2 linked regions of the Nothobranchius furzeri genome follow. The protein of the gene in region 1 purifies or fractionates together with the protein of each later gene. This does not show direct contact. Links are inferred from orthologs where the notes say so. Each region holds a gene or a part of one and is shown on either strand. Other genes may lie near its edges.

Region 1 (4,092 bases):
TCCAACTGTGGTTTGATATTAGACATAAGGGATAGAAATGACAGGTTTGATCTTTGAAGTATTAAAGGTAATGCTTCCCATTTTCTCATAATAAAAGCTGCAACAGATGATCCATTTAATTTGACATTTTTGTCTTTTGAACGGACACACAATGTGTGTGTGGACCTACACACACATTTAGATGTCCTGCGCAAAGTAGCCTTTAAGAACCAAAAAGGTTGGATCATAAAGACTTCATGGCAATCTGAAAACACTTTTTAAATTCAGAGTGTTAACTTGGCATTTACAAACTGAAAAAGGATTTAGGAAGGGTTGCTTCTACCTTGCTGCATTATGGTTTGACAGATGTAACATTTTTTCATCTTTTTTTTAAATACAAACATTTTCATTATTTCTACACAAAAGTTGAAATCAGTCTAGAAATAAAGTTTCTACTAAATTTAGGACATGAATTAATTGGGATTGTGCTCGTAGTTTAGCCAAGTTTGATGTTATGTTCCGGATGAGGCAGACGGCTTTGTTGTGGTTGCAAATCCTGGTTCAACAGCCCTAAGGATTATATATTTTTCTCACGGTTACTGTCACCCACCGTGTGCTATTCCCAACATTCCTTTAGCCTGATGTGTAATGTCACATCTGTTGAGACAGGTCTGGCCTCAACGCTTGTGAATGTGAATTAAAAGGCTGTTTTATCTTCGACCACCAGGGGGCGAAAAAGTATTTTGGTGCATCATTATTCTGCTACAATGGCAGCTGTGTTATTTGATTCCAGATAATTGTGCTTTTTTAAGTTAAAAAAAATTAACAAATGTTTAAAAAAAGACAGAAATTAACAGTGGAGTTGTTTGCGCAGGACAGTTTCTTCCAAAGGGCAAAGTTCACTGCCATCAGGCACAAGGGCACAACATATTGTCGTGCGTCATGTCTGCAGATGAAACAAATAAAAACACACTGGAAGGTTTGTCTGGACATTCTTTTGTAAGAATTGCTTCATTGATCAACTTCCTCCACAGTTTTGCCTGAAACGGATCGTTGGTCAACTTATTTTTAGACACTACAACGCGCATGCGCAGTCAATGAATTAAGGTGGGGCAAAACCAAAACTTGAAAGTTGCAGACGGGAGGAGAGGAGTCAGACCGGAGAGAACGCGAACTAGACAGAAACTTGTCTGTTTTCGTCCCATTGAGTCGCGCCTGTCTACTTTTATTATAGGAAGGTCTCCGCTCGTCCATACAGCTGGGAGGGACTATCAGCTGTAATTGTTGACAGGACCTTTGGACCATCATGAAATTTGTTTTCATGCTCCGTAGCTGAAATTTCGGAAGATCCGAGACTTGATTTCACTTCTTTATCCTCACCAGTTTCCGTTTTTAAGGCTCCTTCATCCGCTGCCGGTGTTTTAAAGCGTTAAAAGAAACCCACACACCTTTTCACAAATGAGCATGGACGCGGAGTAACCTGCTGCTGCCAGATTATTTAACTTTACCTGCAAAAACAGGTGAGGAAGGCTTTACAAAACGTCATCTGTGGGTTTATTCTGGTGTGCATTTTGATTATAGTAACTGACAGCTAGCAGAAAATAATCAGAATTCAGTTATGATTATTTTTTAAAGATTCTTAAATATAATGAATTATGTCTCAAAGATGCTCTACATGCACCCAGATTCTGACCGAGTGCTGTCGTGACCGACATGGCCTTGTTTAACATCCTCCTTCAAACTACCACTTCCTGGGGTGAAGAAGCTGCAGCATGCATGCACCTTCTCACCGATCTGTTCACACAGACAGCTCTCACCTGCACACACGTGAATTCCCCACATGCATGGTTTGTAGTTTTCAGTGGGTAACAAAGCACAAGCAAATAACTTCCTTATAGTAAACCATGAAGGTTAAAGGTGATGCCCCTTTGGCTAAAACTGAAATGTGCCCTTTAAAAAACAAACGAAGCACTCAAAGCTGATGTCTGTGTTGACTTTGTTTTGTTTTTCTAAACTAGAACTTTTTGGTCACAACCTATAAACTGCTGAAACAAAACGAGAGCTTATAAAACCGCAGCAGCAGCTTGCACTGCATGCTTTCTGCAGCAAGGAAGTGTCCGTCTGCTGCTCAGGAAGAAAATCTTTGACTTATATGGAGTTTCTTGACGTGCCTACTTGGTAAGATCAACACTACCCATCATCTGAACTCTGGAAAGCTGTAAAACACAAAGTTCACTCAGATGGCTGAGTGGGTGGCATGAAAAAGGGGATTGCCCCTCACAGAGAATGGTACATTTTTTCATTTCCCAGTGTTCTTAACTGCAGCCTTGATAAAAGTGTGTACCGGTATTTATTTATGAAAAACGTGACTATTTATGGGTATATTTTCTTTCATTTCCTTCAGGCCTGCTTTACAGAAACGGATGAGGGCAAAGTATGTGGTGAAAGCGGTACAATGACAGCTTGTACTGAGTGGAAGAGCACTAAACTCATACTTCCTCCCATAGATTTGATGTACAGTTCTGTCTTTGTGCTTCGCTTCTACATTATAGTGTATCAATTAAGTCTATTCTCCTCCACATAAAAACATCAGTGTGAACTGTTGTTACTTTTTCACACCAAGCGTCCTCTTTTCAGGTAAAAATTCTGTGGTTATTGAGGGGATTAATTCAGTCCATACTGATGTGCATAATAAAAGAGAGGCAGCTTTATTTTAGTGGGATTAATAATCTGATCCAGGTAAGCAGGTAACCTGCAGAATACTTGATGTATCAATGTTTTATAGCTCAATTTACTTAATGGCAGCAATTTTCTACACCAGAGCGCCACCAGAGTAGCCTCACAAGAATTGTAGAGCTATTGGAAACTACTTTAATGTATCATGTCTGATATTCATTTTCTTTCTCCCTTTCCTTATATTTTTTTGATCAATTTTTTTTTTGTCATTTTAAACATATTTTTAATCTTAAAATTGTATTTTATATTTTAAATATTTTGTTTTTGTGAAGCGCCTCGTGATTTTTATCTTGAGAGGCACTAGATCCTTTTCTTTCTTTCTTCTGTCATGCAATGAACTGTAAAGTTGACATTTTAATGTATTTTAAGCTGTTTTTTTAGTGATGCGCCGATATGAAATATTTGGGCAGATACTGATAGTCGATATTAATATCACTGTTACTGCTGATAACCGATATTTGCTGATACCGATATATTGACATTAATGCTTCTAATATCGTCATTTTGTATAGAATGAAAACCATTAAAGCTGAGTTTACGTTATTATGTACACACACCACACACATTTACACTTCTGTTCTGAGATGATTACAATCACTGTCACATGACTAAACAAATATGCATCACCCCCTCACCCTCTGAAACATAAACAAATGGAAATGAGATGGAAAAACATCAGTTGTTAATATCGGCCAAGTTTTATTTATCGGACCGATATGTTAAAAAATGACTAACATCTGTCAATACCGATATTGATGCTGATATAGTGGGCACCCCTACCTTTTTTTAGAACATATTTGTTGTGATACCACGTGGATATGTTGATAGGTGGAACTTTTGTGTTCTGTTTTTATTCTGTCAGGACTGCAAATGTTCATTAGCCAGTGGCTAACTCTGGTGCCATGCATGAAGTGTCAACATTTATTAAGGTTTACTTGTGTTTTAGATAATTACTGTGCACACATTATTTCCTAACAACCCAGCAGGAAAAAAGTTTTTGATAAAGAGGGAAAGAATCAAGTTAGACATTTAGACAAACCAGCAGTAAGATTTTGCTCTGCAGGTCAGTCTAGCTATGCTTCACTGAAACCTCAGCAGGTCTACCATTGGCTAAAACAATTTTAGTTCGAGCCAATCACAGCACTCTGTAGAGAGATGTTGGGTGGATTTAAAGGGTGAGTCACACCATGGGTGGAGACTTATTTCACCCACACTTTCTGTTAGAAAAATGCACTTAAAGGAGGTGTTGCCTGGTGGACAGAGAGAGCTGTAATGAGACAGTGGTTTACAGCACCCCCACCCCACGATCAGCTCACGGAGCTTCTCAATCGGAAAAACGAGTCGCTAACAAGCGTGCACACTCTCGTGCGTGCATTC
Region 2 (4,193 bases), on another chromosome or scaffold:
TAAGGTCAGGATGTTGGGGGGATTAGGGTGTGTCTGCCTCCCCACCAGCTTCAGCCCCTGCAGGTAAGTGCTTGACTGAGCTGTGTCGGTGCTGTCGGCCACGTTTACACAGGCATGACCATTCCCTGGAACTTCTTGCAAATGCCTTTCTTTCAGATACGCTGAATAGCATAAAGAATTTAATTGAATCAAACATTCCAAATGGGATGGTGATGGAGAGAAAAATGTTCCCTTTAGACACAAGGAATCTCTAACCAGGTGCAAGCAGGTGAAGCTTGAGGAGGTTCTGAAATCTGAGGTGGGACATTAAGGGTGTTAGCTCATCGTTGTCGTCAATCAGACAATCTGGAAACTGAAATTTTAGCAAATCTGTAAAAGATCACATGAGATGAGAGGATAAAACAACGGAAAAATAGATAAATAAGGTGCCTCCATGCACATGGAATTAATGAAAGTTGTCCAACCCCTTACAACACTAAAAAACAAACATCTAGTGGGTCGCTTTTATGAATGGGGCAACGACTCCCATCCATCCGTGTCCCAACATGATCTTAAAGCCTCTTTTTTTCTGTTGTAGCACAGGTTCAGTCACAGCTGGGTGGTACTTCTCTGCAAGCAGACGATGCATCTGCTTTGCAGGTTTAGAAAAAGGAGGTCAGTCCTTTCTTTTTGGGGGAGTCTGGACAGAAAAATGATCTGAGTTGTTTGTGAATCCGAGTTACACTTTATGTGCTGCAAACGCCATAAAGCATCAGGTTACAAGTTGTATTCCTAAATATTTTTTTCATTCTAATAAAATATTTTTGCAGTTTTCATTCACATCTAACAGCCATCTAGTAAACAGGAAATCTGTTTTATCCATTCCAAACCTGTTTCAGCAGGGCTGTGCGTTTCATTATGTCCACAGCGACACGATGAGCTGATTTTAAAGCACAGAGAGGGACAAGGCCACAGTTTGTTCTGGCCTTTTTCCTGTCAGGGGCTCTGTATGTTTATGCTGCGGCTTTGACACCCATTCACGCTTGAGGAGCTGAAATAAACAAGCCACGAGAGCTATTGGGGAAAAAGAAAACAAGACGGAAAAGTGGGTGTGGGGTATTTTTAGCTGGTTTATTACCCAACACTGAAACTCTACTCTAGTGCATTTTTGTCTCACATTTTCATGAGATCTTTTGACTAAAAATGACCGTACCAACTCTGTCCAGATTTGTGGAGTCTGAAAGCTTCCAAAGTGCTCCCTAATTACCATTTTCTATCCCAAGGTCATAGTGGAATGCGTTCCAAAATGGATTATGTTCCTACTTGTGCTCTGCCGTTCTCTTTTCCCCTCTTTCTTGCTGTCCATGCCCTGTAACTGCTTTCATTCTCCTTCCTCGTCTAGATCTCTGCTCCTTTAATGACTTACACATGTCACCCAAAAGGCAGCAGTGCTGCGACAAAGTGAAATGCCTCCGTCCTCTGTCCTTTGCTGCAAACACAGTGTTATGTTTACAGTACACAACCCCAACCCTCCGCCATTTGCAACTATTGCTTGGGATCCTTAAGGAAAATACTGACATGTTTATTTTGTTCCGAGGAGAAAGAATTTGTTCGTGTGACTCAGAAAGAACCAGCAACAAAAAAACTATAATTGTCAGTTTAAAAAAAAGTTTCTCTTGTTTTTCGTGGTCTGTAATTAGAGGAAATCTTGAAAGCATTCAGCCTGCAAAACGGCTCAGAACAGCCCGCGTGGTTTATGTCGGTTGAAAGGAAAGGTGTGCAGGAGGGTGTGGATGCAGGTGTGTGTCTGATATGCAGGTGAGGAAGACTGGGTCTGCACTGATGTAAGCACACTTGTACAAGTCATCAACAATGGCTGCCTGAGAGAAGCGAAAGCCTCGAGGGTACAAATACCGCAAAGCAGCTGTAGCTCAAACCAAAAAAAAAAAAGAGTAACAATAAATAGTGTTTTGTGACTATTATTTTCTGACTGGGAGAAAAAAAAACAAAGGTCCTTGTGTGGCCAACATTTATTTTAGGTTTTAATCTTTTTTTATTTTTGGATGCAAGTCATTCACGAGCATGGTTATGTGTTTCATATTATAAAAAGTTATCGTCCACCAAAACACCAGAACACCAAGAAAACCCAAATTATAGCTTCTACAAAGACACAATTCTCCAAGGAGGGCCTTTAAAAGTTAAAAAAAAAAAGAATACAAGATCCAGTCATGCTGCATGGAGTTCACTGTAAAGGCCTTCAGTAACACTTATCCAAAGTAAGCACACACACACACACACACACACACACACACACACACACACACACACACACACACACACACACACGATCAGTTCTTGGTTAGTTTGAAAGACTACATTCTCTGTCCTCACACAGAACTGATTGAAAACAAGCAGAGCTTGCGCGCGCACACCCACACACCCACCACTGGTGTGGGCCAAAGTAAATACAAAGAGCAGTGACCTGTTTTGCTCATAGAATAAATGAGCAACCTTCCAAATCAGGAGCCAATAAGAAAGTTACACATTCCTCCAGGTGAAAAAAGTGAGACGTTTCCTTTAAGAACAGCCTGATTTAAATTAATGATTTACCTGAAATTGTTCGCCCAACGTGACTCACCTTCTAAAGTTATCCCAGACACGTCTTCCTTGTTCTTTTTCCACTCTTGATTCTTCTAGCTGCTGAAACAGAATGAGAAAGTCCAAAGAGTCCCCTGCCCGTCATACAGGCTCAGTGCGGACTGAGAGGCGCATTTCTCCTGCTGGAATGTGATCTGAGGCGCTCCACTGGACCCACTTTGTGCCTCAAACCGGCGCTCCCTTCGCCTCTTTCAGCGGTTATCTGTGATGAATTTTAAATCCTGAACTTGCGCACCAAGTCTTTCTCAGTAGATTTCCTCCAGTGCGAGCTGCCGCTGCGCCGCGCTGCGCACACGCATACCACAGGTTCTGGCACGGGGTAGTCCTCCTCCTCACTCCGGCGCGGAGGCTGTTCCTCATGTTCCCTCCCTTTCCTCTCTCTCTCTCTCTCTCTCTCTCTCTCTCTCTCACACACACACACACACACACACACACACACACACACACACACACACACACACACACACACACACACCCTCGCTTCTCACGCAGATGGGGACTTCCTGCCAGCCCCCACAAACAGCACACCCCTCAAAAAAACTTCAGGAGCAAATAAAGCAACCATGGAGCAGTTAATGACGTTTTAGAAACATCTTATATTGATAAAGGAAAAATATTTATTTCTGACTTAATTGTATTTTTGAATCACAAACAGTGAATGTGACTAAAAGTGGATGTTTTCACCTGCTCTTCTGAGATCCTGATATCATTTTAATTTTCCTTTAATGAAAGAAAAATAACTACTTTTTGTTTGTTGAGATGAAACCTCCAAGTGAGATATAAAATCTACACCTAACTAAAAAGATAGTTGCATTAGATAAAAACACAAACGTGTCTTTAAATCAAGATGAAACAAATGTTTTACTCAAAATCGTAACTCGATTGTTTAAATACTTAACATTTATATTTTTAAGGTAGACTTTTGCGAATTTAAGACAAATTCTCCACTAAAAAATCTAACATCTGTGGCTGTTCAAACCAAGTCATTAAATAATCTTATGTTGGTCATGTTTTTGTCTGGTAGGGATTATGCTGCTTTACAAATTTTTAACAAAGATAGATAGAGCTGCAAATATTAAACTAAATGGCGATTGTGTTTTATGTTTTAGAGTTAACATGTCAATTATAATTATCCTGAAGAAAGTCTATTCACAAAGTGAGATTAAGTGTAAAAAGTTTAGAGCTGGAATGGATGAGAAAAAAAAGGCATAAATCCATTTTGACAACTTTATTTGTATTCAAAAGGGAAAAAAATACATTTTTTAAATGGATATAGTATTCTTTGTAATTATTTTCTGAATTTTACCAAAATATTTGAGATGAACAAAAATGATCTCAGAAAACATGAATGAAGCTAACATAAATGAACACATTAGCATAACAGAACAAGCAGAATCACTTATATGTTCATGTTAAATCTGAAGTCAAAAGCTTTTAAGGTAAAAGTTTAAAAATATATGCTGTGTGCTAAAACAAGCCAAAGAGTATAATCAACAAGTGTTACAATATGAATAGTACTCAGCATTAATAATAACAACTAAATATAACGACAACTG

Evidence for each region. The genes of interacting proteins can lie anywhere in the genome.
Region 2: the proteins of tyrosine-protein kinase CSK (region 1) and tensin-3 purify together in Homo sapiens (affinity purification with mass spectrometry; 4 studies listed by BioGRID and IntAct, with this or other methods). This does not show direct contact. The link is inferred for Nothobranchius furzeri from reciprocal best matches to the Homo sapiens genes CSK and TNS3.

What each region holds. Positions count from the first base shown.
Region 1 is NC_091744.1:58,988,498-58,992,589, reverse strand, and holds the start of tyrosine-protein kinase CSK, read left to right. Parts: upstream 1-1,286; 5' UTR 1,287-1,499; intron 1,500-4,092. UniProt on the Homo sapiens protein: Non-receptor tyrosine-protein kinase that plays an important role in the regulation of cell growth, differentiation, migration and immune response.
Region 2 is NC_091751.1:51,822,129-51,826,321, forward strand, and holds the start of tensin-3, read right to left. Parts: upstream 2,819-4,193; 5' UTR 2,618-2,818; intron 1-2,617. UniProt on the Homo sapiens protein: May act as a protein phosphatase and/or a lipid phosphatase. Involved in the dissociation of the integrin-tensin-actin complex. EGF activates TNS4 and down-regulates TNS3 which results in capping the tail of ITGB1.